Arabidopsis thaliana: one gene and its partner. The protein of the gene in region 1 interacts with the protein of each later gene in a pairwise test. Each region holds a gene or a part of one and is shown on either strand. Other genes may lie near its edges. The genes, in order: AT3G07090 and AT4G28330.

Evidence for each region.
Region 2: the proteins of AT3G07090 (region 1) and AT4G28330 interact in a protein complementation assay, tested with the Arabidopsis thaliana proteins (one large-scale study listed by BioGRID).

Annotation. Positions count from the first base shown.
Region 1 is NC_003074.8:2,240,737-2,248,325, forward strand, and holds AT3G07090 (PPPDE putative thiol peptidase family protein), read right to left. Parts: upstream 4,093-7,589; 5' UTR 4,021-4,092; exon of another isoform or gene 3,861-4,020; intron 3,770-3,860; 5' UTR 3,741-3,769; coding exon 3,732-3,740; intron 3,639-3,731; coding exon 3,541-3,638; intron 3,196-3,540; coding exon 2,879-3,195; intron 2,791-2,878; coding exon 2,417-2,790; 3' UTR 2,262-2,416; downstream 1-2,261. Other genes in the region: AT3G07080 (EamA-like transporter family), read left to right, coding at 624-1,196, 1,291-1,711, 1,876-2,198; ERMO2 (Sec23/Sec24 protein transport family protein), read right to left, coding at 4,953-5,183, 5,335-5,523, 5,609-5,931, 6,001-6,128, 6,218-6,374, 6,478-6,627, 6,738-6,969, 7,093-7,296 and 1 more.
Region 2 is NC_003075.7:14,020,008-14,026,794, forward strand, and holds AT4G28330 (pyrroline-5-carboxylate reductase), read right to left. Parts: upstream 3,299-6,787; 5' UTR 2,922-3,298; coding exon 2,445-2,921; 3' UTR 2,273-2,444; downstream 1-2,272. Other genes in the region: AT4G28340 (pyrroline-5-carboxylate reductase), read right to left, coding at 4,623-5,102; AT4G28350 (Concanavalin A-like lectin protein kinase family protein), read left to right, coding at 6,570-6,787.

The DNA of each region.
Region 1 (7,589 bases):
AAGACTGTTCCAATCATTTGCCGGATCTATGTTTTGACGAGGCTGCATGATCAATATTGAAGAGACTAGAGAGAGTTCGTGTCTCTTGAGTCTTGACTAATACTCAGCAAAACTACAAGAAGTCTAAATAGAAGAACAAGAAAGTCCTTTAATACGACATTCAGGTTATAGGGTTTCTTTCGTCTTGTGTATTAAACAAAATTGGGCTACAAATGTTTTTAACGATATTGGGCCGATAATAAAGCCCATATTCATACTCACATCCGCCAATCTCTCTTCTCTCTCGCTCTCTCATTGGCGCTGTTTATCTGAATTCGATACCTTTTTGTTTTTTCTTTGGTAAATAAATATCTGATTTCGCTTTTGAATCGCCATTGGTTGAACAATTTGACGCCGATCTAGATTTCTGTCGCTGTGAAGGTAGTGTCCTGTTTTTCCGATCAATTGGTTTGTTCCGATCGTTTCTCGTTTACGCTTTTTGTTATCCTTGAGAAATTTTACGTTGCAAGAGAGATCTTTGATTCATGGGTGTTGAAGCATTCGTGTTAAAATGTATGATTGATCTTAATCAGTGAGATCGGTGAGCTCAAGTTCTGTGTTTTGTAATTGAGATTCGAAGAGGTATGTCAACAAAGTTATGGAGATGGGTGTTAGGGCTGATATACCTATTTGCCGTTGCCACGATTTGGATTGCGGCTAGTTTTGTAGTCCAGTCTGTGGTGGAAGCTGGTGTTTCTCCGTTCTTGATCACTTTCATTTGTAATTCATTGTTCGTTGTTTATCTTCCCCTTTTTGAGATTGGTCGATATCTGGAAGATGCATATGGGAGTTTATTGTTCTGGAGAAGCAAAAGGTCGCATTTAATGGAACTGGTCGAATCAGAGAAGGCTGTTTTGCTTGGAAAAGATGTTTCTGGTGTGAAATCAGATGCTACTGAGAGTTCAGGGCTTGTTGTGAGAGAGCAAGAGATTAGTGAGGGTGGTAATGGGATTGAATCTGGATTGGAAAATATAGAGCTTGAGATTGATGCTAGTGTCAATGTTAGTGATGGAGCTAGTGGAGTTTCTAATAAAGGATTAGATGAGAAGGGTCGTTGGACAAGGATGCGAGTTGCTAAAGTTAGCCTTGTGATTTGTCCGTTTTGGTTTTTGGCGCAGCTTACATTTAATGTCTCTCTCAAGTACACAACAGTTACGGTAAGAACATATTGGACACCCATCATCTTGTTGCTTATTCTGAATCTACTAAATGTTTTGCTGAAGTTTTTTTTTCATTTTTGTGTGTTTGCAGTCAAATACCATATTAAGCAGTGCATCAAGCCTTTTCACCTTTCTTGTTTCACTAATATTCTTGGGTGAGAAGTTCACATGGTTGAAACTCTTCAGCGTTCTTCTTTGTATGTCTGGGACTATAATTGTAAGTATGGGTGACTCAGAGTCCAAGTCAAATGCAGTAGCTAAGAACCCTCTTTTGGGAGATATTCTTTCGCTGGTCTCAGCGGCGCTGTATGCTGTCTACATCACTCTTATACGCAAAAAGCTTCCGGATGATGATGAAAGAAACGGCCGGGTCAGTATGGCTCAGTTCCTCGGGTTTCTTGGTCTCTTCAATTTCTTCATTTTCCTTCCTCCTGCTCTAATACTCAACTTCACAAAGCGAGAACGCTTCAACGCACTTACCTTGAAACAATTTGGCCTAGTTGTTGGCAAAGGTATGCAAACACCATCCCTTATTTCCGCTATTGTCTCCTTGAAGCTATTGGTCAATAAATCACATTTTCTCATATCAATGGGAATTGATGGCACAAGTAGTAAATTAGGATTGATGTAGGAATGCCGATTTGAAAGACTAATGTGTGTTTCATCACAACTGCAGGTTTGTTAGATAATGTGCTTAGTGACTATCTGTGGGCAAAGGCAGTACTATTGACAACAACCACTGTAGCTACAGCTGGGCTAACTATTCAGGTCCCATTGGCAGCCATTGTAGACAGCTTATCAGGGAACAAACCAAGCTTCACCGACTACATTGGTGCTGCAGCTGTTATGGTTGGCTTTGCAGGGATTAATATTCCCTCAGAGATGTTTTGCAAATCCAAAGAGACTGCTATTGAGTTAGAACCTGGGACTTCGTTCACAGATCCTCCTCCGATTGTGCCAGATAGCATAAGAGTAGATTCTTCACTGACTGTAGTATAAGCCTAAATTGTTCCAAATTCAAAAGCCACAATTCTTGTAAAATCTTTTTTTTTTCTCTTGTTTACTGCTCTTTTCCTCTTTTATGATAATTAATTTGTAGATCGTTGAACATAATACACGAAATACAGCTGAAGGCAATAGTGTAATGAAATCGTTCAAGATTCTGGACTTAGTTTCAAGACAGTAAAAATAAAATGTTTCATCTCTCTGTTATTGCACTAAGCGTTTACATTGAGATGTCCGTACTTTTGCATGACTCTTTTTGTCGCCATAGCAGCTGCTTCACTTGCTCGTAATGTGCCTTGTGCCATTAGAGCTGCAAATTCGCTTGTAATCTCTTCCTGAATCTTGGCCCTAGCATCACCCAACGGGTCGTCCTTGACCTTCTCTTTACTAGCTGATGGTTGAATAACAGGTGGCACTTTCTCAGTTGCAGTTGAGGTTTCTGCTGCCTCGAGCTTAGGAGCTATCACAATTTGTGGGCCATCATCTTTACTAAAAGCTCCAAAAGGTTGTGGCTGTGGCCTAAACTGTGGAACTTGAGGAACAGCACCAGCCTTTAGAGTTGTTTCGAGGCCTTGCAACATAGGCACTGCAAAATGGGGATATGAAATTAGAACAATAATGTAGCCGAGAAAGAAGAGGTTCAAGGAAGGTGTCGCAAGTTATCAGCGACTTACTTATAAGACCACCCATGGGACTGTTTAGAACATCATTAGGAAGCTGGAGAATGTAGTCAGGAATCCCTTTACCCACCAAAAACTGAGCGACCTCGTTGCTGAAGTTGTTGCAGTTGTGAGTAAGTAAATTGTAGGATTCAGCAGTGTAACGAGGACTGATTTCTTCCAAGTACATCTCGAATACATCTTTAGGCACATGTGATAGACCCAACTCTATCGTTCGAATTGGTGTTCCATATGGAGTTCTTCCAACTGGTAAATGTTGTATCCCTCCTCCAAAAAAGTACTCATTCCCATAGACAACTATTCCTGTATGCCTGGAAAAAGGATACATAACTCACATGTTATCTACCTGGTTTAACATCAAAGTAATATCCTAAAAGAGTAAAAAGCAAAACACCTAAACAATAAGCAGGTTAATTCATATTTCTCAAGGAAAACCACACTCGGTTGATATTAAAAGCAGAAGCTTAGACACATTTACATACACCAACCAGTCATGCCAATATCTTTTACATTGGGTTAACTGCAACCATGTTCAACAGCTAAAACAATAATATCAAACCCTATGAATGGCACTACACAGGACAAATGTTCAAAACAAATTTGGCATATACAACACAACAGATCAAATACGAACATGTGACAGAGATTTGACTCACCATACACCTTCAATAACCTTTCCCAGGAGTGATTGTGAGAGCTGGCGTGCCAAGCCTTGGCTTAAATCATAGACATTCAATGTTACCTTATGCGCTTCCTGCCATATCACATATATCACCAATTTCAATCAAACTAACAACGAGGCAACGCAATTAACTACGAACCAGAAATGAAAAAAAGAGAATCATACCTCAGCCATTGTCAAAGTCCTTGAAACACGTTAACTACCTGAAGAAAAAAAAAATCAAAATCAAAATTTACAATCGCAATGATCTAAGACCTGAGCAACAAGAATGATTCCGAACAAACTATATCAGACCTACAAAAGAATTTCCGCAAATCTTAAGACCAAATCCATAATCGATTCCGAACAAAAAAGAACTAGTATCCGCAAATAGAAAATCCAAATCTAGAAACAATCGGGAACACATAATTGATAAAATTGATAGCGAGAAAGCGAGGGAGATTTGATCACGTACAAACAAAATACGTAAACTGGCCGCTCGGAAAATTGTCGATATGCGCAAATCTGAAAGATTTCTTGGATAGCAATGGTTCAGAGAGGTTTGTTATAAAGGCAAGCTATTGGGAGATTCGAAGATTCCTCTACGACGTCGTTTAAGCTACTTTGACCCCTATACCGACGACCGCTTTTATTCTGTAACCTTCTAGAAAGTACCATCCAATAAGACATTGCCACGTCTATTTTCCCCGTCCCGGTTCAACCGACCAGAATCTTTGAATCAGAATTACAGCAGTTAAAAATTGAAATCCTAATTTATCTATTTGTGATTGCAGGAACAGTTGGTCTTACAGCGATCAATCACCGTATTGTTTATGTATGAACTTTACCGATGTATACCAACGATGCGTTTCATCCAAATCTAAGGTTTTCACAACATTATTTATTCATAAAAATATTTTAAAATTTTAACAGTAGCATCTTCTTGTTAATAACCCTAATTAGGACAGATTCATGAACTGCAACTCCCAAAATAAATCTAGAACAGACGCACATCAACAAAAAATCGAATGAGGACAAAAAAAAAAGGCAACAAAAGATTTAAAAAACGACTAATCTTACGGAGATAACCATTCTGGTTAGGCAAATAAAAGCCTAATCTTGAGAAAAAAGGTCTATATAGAAAAACAAATGAAGAAAAATCAAAAAGTAGCACTTCTTTATCCAAAACAACACATTATGGCCCAAGGAAGAAGGCCGCCATGATCCTGCTTAAGTAGAAGATTTTTGAGCTCAAGAGTTCTTCAATGGTTACAAAGAGGTGGCATCCTAGCACCCGAGTTGTCTGAAAGTAAAACCGCTTCATAAGATGCGTCGAACATGATGTGGTACTTTAAGCATGTTATTGGAAGTATTATGATGGTTTTTTCCTTACCATTGTGAGCTATCTTAGTTTTGTTGAACTTGGCGGTGAAGTTGTAGAATCCAATCGACATAACCACTCGAACCGCCCATCTGGTCCTCAATGAGATTTCTGAGGAGAAGGAAGCCTTCTCGGGGTTGTTCTCCTTGTCTCACTAGAAAACACATGGGGTGATATGAAGGATCACTCTCCCTCAGTTTCTTTACCAACCTCATTAGCTTCTTTGACATCCCATTCTCTTGCTCTTGAAAGGTAACCTAAGAGACCCAACACGAAGAAAGACAAGGGTTTCACACATATTATCATGTTTCAAATTCTTGAAAAACACTAATGATGCATATACATCATCGAATGTACCGCCTGTTCATATATTCATATGTAAGGATATATGTGGATAAAAATACATACCCTTGAGAGGTCTGCTGCAAAGTCAACCCCAAGAAGATTTTTAGCAATGTCAGGTGAAAGCATCCGGCCAAACCACAAAACTAATCGAAAACCATCATCATATATGTAAAGGCCTCTAGAATCCAAACTCTCTGCAGCCAGCGGCAATCTCCTTAATACGTCTTTAAAGTCATCGTGGGCTGCTGATGGCTGCAAGCATGTGAATTCACAAATTATTTACTATTTCTTGAACACTGATGTTTGATAATGGACATTGAGATAAAAATACACAAACCTTTAAGAGCCATTCGTCAACACGGAATAAATTGGGATACAAAAGCTTCAATAGCTTTTTGACAGGCAGAGCCATCATGGTGAAGCCTGCAGCACAGCGCTCATCAAGAGAAGTATCAGCAGGTCCACCTAGAAGAGGAGTGGACTTAGTAATTGCCAATCCGTACAATGGCAAGAACTTCAGAGACTCTGGGTATACTAATCTGGACCCCAAGCGATGCTGCACCGCGTGAAGATTACGATATTCTTTGAGGGCTTTAACAATCTTTTGCTGTATTGCATTCCGTGCATCATCCAATTTTGCGGACAAAGATTTCTCAATTGCTGCAGAATTTAAATTGTCATTAAATAGTATCAAAAGTAGCATATGAAAAAAATTTGAATATAGCTTACCTAATCTAGCATATAAAGACACAATGGAACCAGTGTCTGCTTGTCTATACATCTCCCCAAGATCTGTAACCACTGGTGCAACAGATGTGTGTACCCTTATACGTCTCTCTCCACAAGAGGCGGTATATCTTAGTTCTGTTAAGGATTACTAAAAGCTAAATGATGTGTTGTATGTTTAAACTCAAGTATGTTTAAAATATCAACTATTCAAGGATACAGCAAAGCCACTTGGAAATACACAGTCTGGGATGTTAGCAAAGTCTCCTCAAGAGATAGCTGCATTGCATACGCTTTGTCACAGTCAACAGCAGGAAGAGCAAGCAGGTCAGTAGACCTTAGCATGAAGTTCCCATGGTAGGACGAGAAACGAATTCCTGCATGCAAAAATATATAAGATCACAAGTAGCACACCAATGCATTAGCAAATATTGACATAGCAGGTAGCAAAAACGAATATATTATCATAAACTATTAAACCTTTTCCACATCTTATTCGCATAACCGCCTCCCACGCAGTTTCCCTTGTAAGGTCTCTAGCAAGCTCGTGTCTTAACTTATCTCCATGAACAGATGATTGGAAACCTGGATAATAGTACACCTGTCCTCCAGTGTATTTTGCCAGAGTCCCTTCAAGAAACCAAAGAATTGTAATTACAGGCTGATAAACTTAACTATCACCCATGACTCCAAACAGCTGAAATAAAAAACATCAACTGATAACCTCAACGTTCACATACCTAATGAGGCAATATCAGTGTACTTATCACTGAATGCATAAACATTAATTCCTATCTGGAACTTGGTACAATCAGCAGCCATTTGTTTATAGAAGGGATCTTCAGCTACCCTTAATGCATATTCTTTGTCAGTTCCATAGACACGAGGATCATCTCCCCGCAACTTTAACCTCCCAGCACCAAGAGAAGGTAATGAGTTCTGGAAAATTAGTAACTTGCCCCCAAGTTGGTTCTGAAATAGGGAGAGAAACAGAGTCAACAAACTGATCCACATTTCAGATGAGGATCTAAATAGGACACTCAACATCAAATGAATTATATGATATTATCTTGATATGTCAGGATGGTAACTAACCATAACCATAAACGCCGCTCTGAGGGCTGGGCCAAAAGCTGATTCCACATTGAAATTATCTTGAAACATCAAAGGTAGACTGTCCAAAAAGGCGTCCACCACAGTTCTAGATTCAGATAGATTTACAAGCAGATCGTCTGGCAATGGGACAAAGATATCATCTAGATCTGATACAACCATCATCTGCGGCTGGCTCAAAGATGACTGCATTGCCAAAGTCCACAAAAAAAAAATTATGGAGGCTAAAGAATTTCAAAACAAAAGTTCCTGTGAGTTTACAATTCTCTTACCTTCATGTTGTAAAAATGTAACGTGCTGTCATAAGTAATAAATCCAATTTGAGTTCTTGGATAACCAGGCAGGTTATCCAAACAAGACTTAATCGTTTGAGCAACAACCTGCGAAGGAGCAAAAGGTCAGTGTAAGATCTATATTATACGAAAGCTTCCATATGAAGAGAGAGAGCCACTAAGCTAGACAAAGAAACAAGAACAGTC
Region 2 (6,787 bases), on another chromosome or scaffold:
ACACACACAGAAATTTCAAACCCAGAATTGGAGAAAGAGCTCCTTTTTTAGTCGGTGCCCACCCAGAAGAAAAAGTCTGTGCCTTGTTCCGTGAATTTCTCTGAAACCCAAACCTTTTATAAAACCCAGACGGAAAAATCAATCGTTTGTAGAAAATTAGCAAAGATTTGAAAAAATAGCTCGCTCAATAACGCTTTAAGCAAACAAGGGAGATACGAACAAGCAGAAGAAATTGAATAATCACAGACACAGATCTATGTATCTTTGTATTTATATTAGTTGTTTATTAGTTATTTAGTTTCACTGTATCTGAAACTTAAAGGACCCAAATTACTATATTTTTCTATTAATTTTTTTACAAAAAAATAATATTTTTCTATTAATTCTAATTTTCTTTTGTGAAAGAAGAAAATAGCTTGAAATAGCCCTTTTGTATTTTACCTTGCAAAAGGGACAAGGCATAATGTGATGTTTTAAAAAAAAAAAAATTACACAAGGTATGATTTTACACTCTATTTCGTAAGTTGAAATTACTTATAAAATATCTTCATAAAAATTGGATATTTATAAATAAAAAAATGGTTGAAGGGGAAAGAACAGAACTTGACCCACCAAAGAAGAGGAAAAAGCACAGGAATTAACCTGGTATTTAGATTTAGAACTAAAAGAGACTAATATGTTGTTGGAAACTTTAAAAGAAGGAATTTAATTTTGATGAGTATCACAGGAAAAAAAATACATTTGAATCTCTTAGGAAAAAAAATAAACAGGGCCACATGCGTTGGAGTGTCATCAACTTCAGATATTTGAGAAAAAATGTTCATTGTTCAATCATGTGATGTGAATTGTGAGCCCAACTCATTTAGAACATACAAAGGTTAATTCTGAGAAGACAAAACAAATCAAATAATTACATTTACATAGAAAATATTTAGCTTCTGCATAAATTCAACATATTCAGTAGCATATTTATTTCTTTGTTCTCTTGAAAATCACTTTTGAGGTGTTCTCCACGTTGTTTATGATGATAAAAGAGCATAGATAGGCTTGACAATTACATTTGTGGTAAGATTCTTTTTATCCTTGTTGTTTAGTCAAAATTGTATAAATTACAATGCTAAATTATGTGAACCTGTTCATCACAGTCGTCTCCGCTTTTGTATTTTTCTAATGTTTTGTTAAGTTCTTAGAATATAGGGTAACAGTACTATCTATTTTCTCTGTCGACATTAGAAAACTTGATGCGTGTGTGTGGTAAATACAATAATAAATAAATAGAAGACAGAAGTAAAATACTTTGAATGCTGTCGGTGACTGCTTTTATTAACAGTTAACACCCAAAGAGTCATTTTAATAATACTAAGGAACAATGTACAGTATTAAATTTTTTTGGATATTTTGCTAGCTATTTTTTGTAATGCAAAGTGTAAAGTTATGTATTAGCCATCTAGTTTTGCAATCAAATTAGTGTAAAGGAAAAAAAAAGAGAGATAAAAGCAGCCTTACTGCTAATTTTGGACCATAATCATTTAATTATTATATAGTATTAGTATATCTAAAGGAGAAACATTCAAACAGACCAATTATTCTTTTGAAGGCCATGTCATGATTTACTACCACCAACCAATGGCATTCGATAATATTTGAAGACAAAGCAAACCAAATCAAAGTAACAATACTAACAGATTTTTGAGAATTACTCATTGTGGATAAAGATTCAAGAGCATTGAGGATCGATTTACTCATGAAGGATCCAGAGCATTGAATGTATGTACATATTTTGTCAAATATTCATAATTATATCTTTGAATTATCGTATGAACTTTTATCAAAAAAAGAATTATCGTATGAACTATGCATTGACTTGGATTGAGCATCTTCTTACACTTGTTATTATTGCTACATTATGAAAAATTGGTGCAACTTATCATCTTTTAAGCTTTTTACTAACCAACTTCAGCTTGGACCATACCTAATCACATGCACTTCCTCCTTCAAACACAATTTATCGTCTGGCCTAGTAGATACTGTATTTAATACGTTGTCACTAAAACAGTTCTCCACTATATACGATAAAATGGGCCATTAATGGTAACCCGTAAGCCCCAATGGGCCTTCTAACCCATATTATAGTTCAGGTTTCAGAAGCTCTTCCATGGACAGAGACAGAGAATGACCGACAAACAAAGAGACCAAAAGAAGAATCTGTGTTCTCTCAAATAAATAAACAAAAGTAATGTAAATTACTTCACGTGTCGGTATTGTGACGTGGAAGCATTCTCTCTGACATCATCAGAAAACACATCAATCCAACAAAGAAGATCGATATTTTCAGATTCAAGAAATCAAATCTTGTTAAACTAAAGTACAAATAATAATGAGGAAAGATTTCAATATACTAGCTGTGAATGTTTTCGTTAATGACAAGAATTCAAAAAAACGAATCAAGAAGATGAAGAGTAAGAGTTAAAGAAGACGAAGTAAGCAAGAAGAGCACAAAGAAGAGCCACAAAGTTTCCTTCTTTAAGAAGAACCCTAAACACAAAACCAGCGATCTCTTTCGTCACTTTCCTTCCTTCAATCACCACTCTCTTCCTAGATTTTCCGGCGAACGCCATCGTCACCACCACTGATATCCAGATCACCACGATCGCAGGCACGGCTATGAACAGCGCCGCCGCCATAGATAAAACTCCGAACACCGCACCAAGAAGCACCGACGCGTAAATCGCAGGCAAACCAGATGATGTCTGATGATTCTCTCCGTACCAATTAACTATTGAATTCAACGAATTCCATGAAGAAGACAATAGGATCGCGTAGACTACAAGAAACAGACAGGCCCATGTTCTTCTCTTGCTTATAACTCTCAAAAACAACTTGTACGAGGTCATCGTCTCTGGTTCTTCCTTATCCGCCATATTTGAGAACACCAGATCTGATCTTATGATTCTGTGTCTGGTTTGGTGAAGTTATGGTATATAGTAAAAGAGCCTTCTTTTGTACAAGCTTCTTTCTTCTTCTGATTCCTTTTTTGGGGTGAGTGTTTGCGGTGAAGAATTGTGAGAAAAGGAAAGTGATCGTACGTTCTTTTTAGTTTATACTTAAGCCTAGTCGAATCTGATGTAACGTGAAGTACACGCTCTTGCTGATTAGGCTGTGTTTGTCACGTGCCTCTTTTATTAGCGGTCCAGTTAAAGTCTTTGCCTTTTCCTGCAAACTGACAGTTGGAGAGCTCTGTTTCCATTTTTTCTAGTTTCACTTTTGGCTCACCTCCCAAACTAACCGTTTCATAAACCAAAGTGATTAGTGATTAATTTGTGTAATACTTACACTGTTTTTCTTAAAAGTTAACACCCAAAAAGTCAATTTATTATGTAAGGAACAATGTATCAAGTTTTTTTGGGTATTTTGGAAATAGTTAATTTTGTATAATGCAAAGTGTAAAGTTGGTTATTAGCAATCTAAGATCTTGCGATCCAATTTACTAGTGTTAAGGAAAGAAAAAAGAGAGATAAAAGCTGCCTATAAGCTATAACTGCTAATTTTGGACCATTATAATTTTATTATTATATAGTATATCTAAAGGGGAAACATTCAAGCAGACCAATTATTCTTTTGAACTACCAACCAATGTCATTCAATAATATCTGAAGACAAAGCAAACCAATTCAAAGTAACAATACTTAAAGATGTTTGAGAATTATACTCAATTACTCATTGTGGATCAAGAGCATTGGAGTATCTTTTTGTCAAATATGCATCATTATTACTTTGAAAACTATGCATTGACTTAGATTGAGTACCTTCTTACACTTGTTATTAATGTTGTATTCTGAAGAATTGGTGCAACTCATCACCTATGAAGCTTTTTTACTTACCCAACTTCAGCTTGGACCATACCTAATCACATGCACTTACTCCTTACACAATTTTTCTTCTTCTTCGTCGTCACATTCACAATATATCTGTTTCACAATTACTAGGCTATCATCATCGTACTCTAGTATTTGGCATCTCACATAGTTTAAATATATTTATATCAAGTATTCAGCTGATAGAAAGTTATAAGTTAGATACTGTATTTAACGTTTTCACTAAAACAGAAAATGAGCCATTGATGGTAATCAGTAAAGCCCAAATGGGCCTTCAAACCCATATTATAGTTGAGGTTTCAGAAGCTCTTCCACGGAAGAGACAGAGAATGACCGACAAACAGAGAGACGACCAAAAGAAGAATCTGTGTTCTCTCTCAAAGAAATAAACAAAAGAAATGTCAATAACTTCACGTGTCGGTATTGTGACGTGGAAGCATTCGTTTTGACATCATCAGAGAACACATCAATCCAACAAAGAAGATCGATATTTTCAGATTCAAGAAATCAAATCTTGTTAAACTAAAGGACAAATAATGAAGAAAGATTTCAATATATACACACTTTTTTTTTGGTATCAATGTTAAGTTTAAAAAAAAGAAGACGCAAACATGCAAAGAAGGGAATCGAACTCAACACCCAAAACTTGCATGGGGTGTTGTACTATTTTACAACATATACCATAAGATAAGATGTCAATATATTAGTTATGAATGTTTTCGTTAATGACAAAATGCAAAAACTGAATCAAGAAGATGAAGAGTAATAAGAGTTAAAGAAGACAAAGTAAGCAATAACAGCACAAAGAAGAGCCACAAAGTTTCCTTCTTTAAGAAGAACCTTAAACACATAACCAGCAATTTCTTTCGTCACTTTCCTTCCTTCAATCACCACTTTCTTCCTCGACTTTACGGGGAACGCTATTGTCACCACTACCGATATCCAGATCACAACGATCGCTGGCACAGCGATGAACAGAGCTGCCGCCATAGATAGAACTCCGAACACCGCACCAAGAAGAACCGACGCGTAAATAGCAGGCAAACCAGATGATGTCTGATGATTCTCTCCGTACCAATTCACTATCGAATTCAACGAATTTCTTGAAGAAGACAAAAGGACCGCGTAGACTACAAGAAACAGACAGACCCATGTTCTCCTCTTGCTTATGACTCTCAAAAACAGCTTGTACGAGGTCATCGTCTCTTGTTCTTCCTTATCCGCCATATTTGAGAACACCAGATTTTCTTATGATTCTGTGTTGGAATTGAAACTTTGATTAAACCTGAAAAAGAGAAAAGCTTCAAGTGGGAAGAAGATGAAGAAAAGAGAAGAACCAAAAGCAAAGCAAAAGGAGAAGAAGAAGTTGTCGAAGAAGAAGAGTCAACAGAAGAGATGAGAAAGTCAAAGATGAGGCTATTGGGCTAGAGTGAAGCCCACATAGTAAATTAGTAATTGTGTGTTTTGGTTAGTAAATGGGCTATTATTAGAGTTGAGCCCAGATTTTGTGCATATGGTGTGCTTATAATTAAGCTAAGCTAGAGTAGCTAAAGAGTAGTTGTTAAGAGGAGTTGTGGTGTAAGGTTTAGTAGTTTAACGTTACTTGTGGTTTTAGTCTAGTCCTTAGGAATAATCATGTCTAAGTGGGAGTAGTTTTAAAGCTAGAATGTTAAGTGTGTGAATGTGTATCTTGTGGTGAAATACCACTATAAGTATGTGTATTGTGTCTTGTAGAGTTATCCTTGTGATCCATTAGTACAATGTAGACAACTAAAAGAAAAAAAAGAAAAAATCGTTTCTTGTGTTTCTCTCTAAACAATAACAAAAACAGAGAGTGTAACAATGAGAGAGAGACATAAAGAATGAGAGTTCTAACCTAGTGTAAAAGGGAGGTAACATTCGGTGTCTGGTTTGGTAAAGTTATGGTAAATAGTAAAACAATATTTGCAATGTTGCACACTGTCAACATCTCCCAAACGCACCGTTTCATAAACCAAAGTGATTAGTGATTGATTAGTAATACTTGCACTGTTGCACATAGTAATAAGAGAATATCAACTTCAATGTTTTTGAATTGAACAATGAACCTACCAAAAAAGTAGTTACTGTTAGGCATTTGACATGATGATTTTAGGATTAATATATACTAGGTCCTATTAATACTATGATGCTTACAGGTGACGAATAATTTGAGTTATGTGCGATATGTTTGAAAGAATTAAAGAGGAGAATCAAGAAGAAGATGAATATTTGACATTTCAAAGCTGACTTTTTTGACGAATAAGTTCATCATTATTCACACCTATAAATGTGGACAGCGAAATACCAAGTCCAACAATTTCACGATTAATTCCAAGTGGCTTGGATCAAGAAATATACAAAAACAAAATTCCAAATGCTTAGGAAAATAAATAAACGAGAGATCAAATTATCACGGCGGATATTATTTCGTCCACATTTGTTGTTCAAACAGATTTCTAACACATATAATTAGCATATATACATTAAACAACATTATCTCCTTAATAATTTTGACTCTGGAACAGATCTTTCCAGTTTCAGACAATATATTTGAACAATCGGTTCGTTGAATCGAGAACAAACCAATCAAATCTCTTTTGACAAAGCTCTTCTTCTTCTTCCCATAAAACTTCACAACGGCACACGTCTACGAAAAAACCTCTCTCAGTCATCATGTTCTCTAAAGTTTCCATTCTTCTCTTTTCCCTCGCATCCCTACTCTTGTTCCGATCAACCACAGGCATCGAATTCATCTACAACTCCAATTTCACCACAACCAACACACTTCTCCTCGGCAACGCCACTGTTAAATCTCCACCGTCGATCCTCACCCTCACCAACCAAACCACTTTCTCCATCGGACGTGGCCTCTACCCTTCAAGAATCAACGC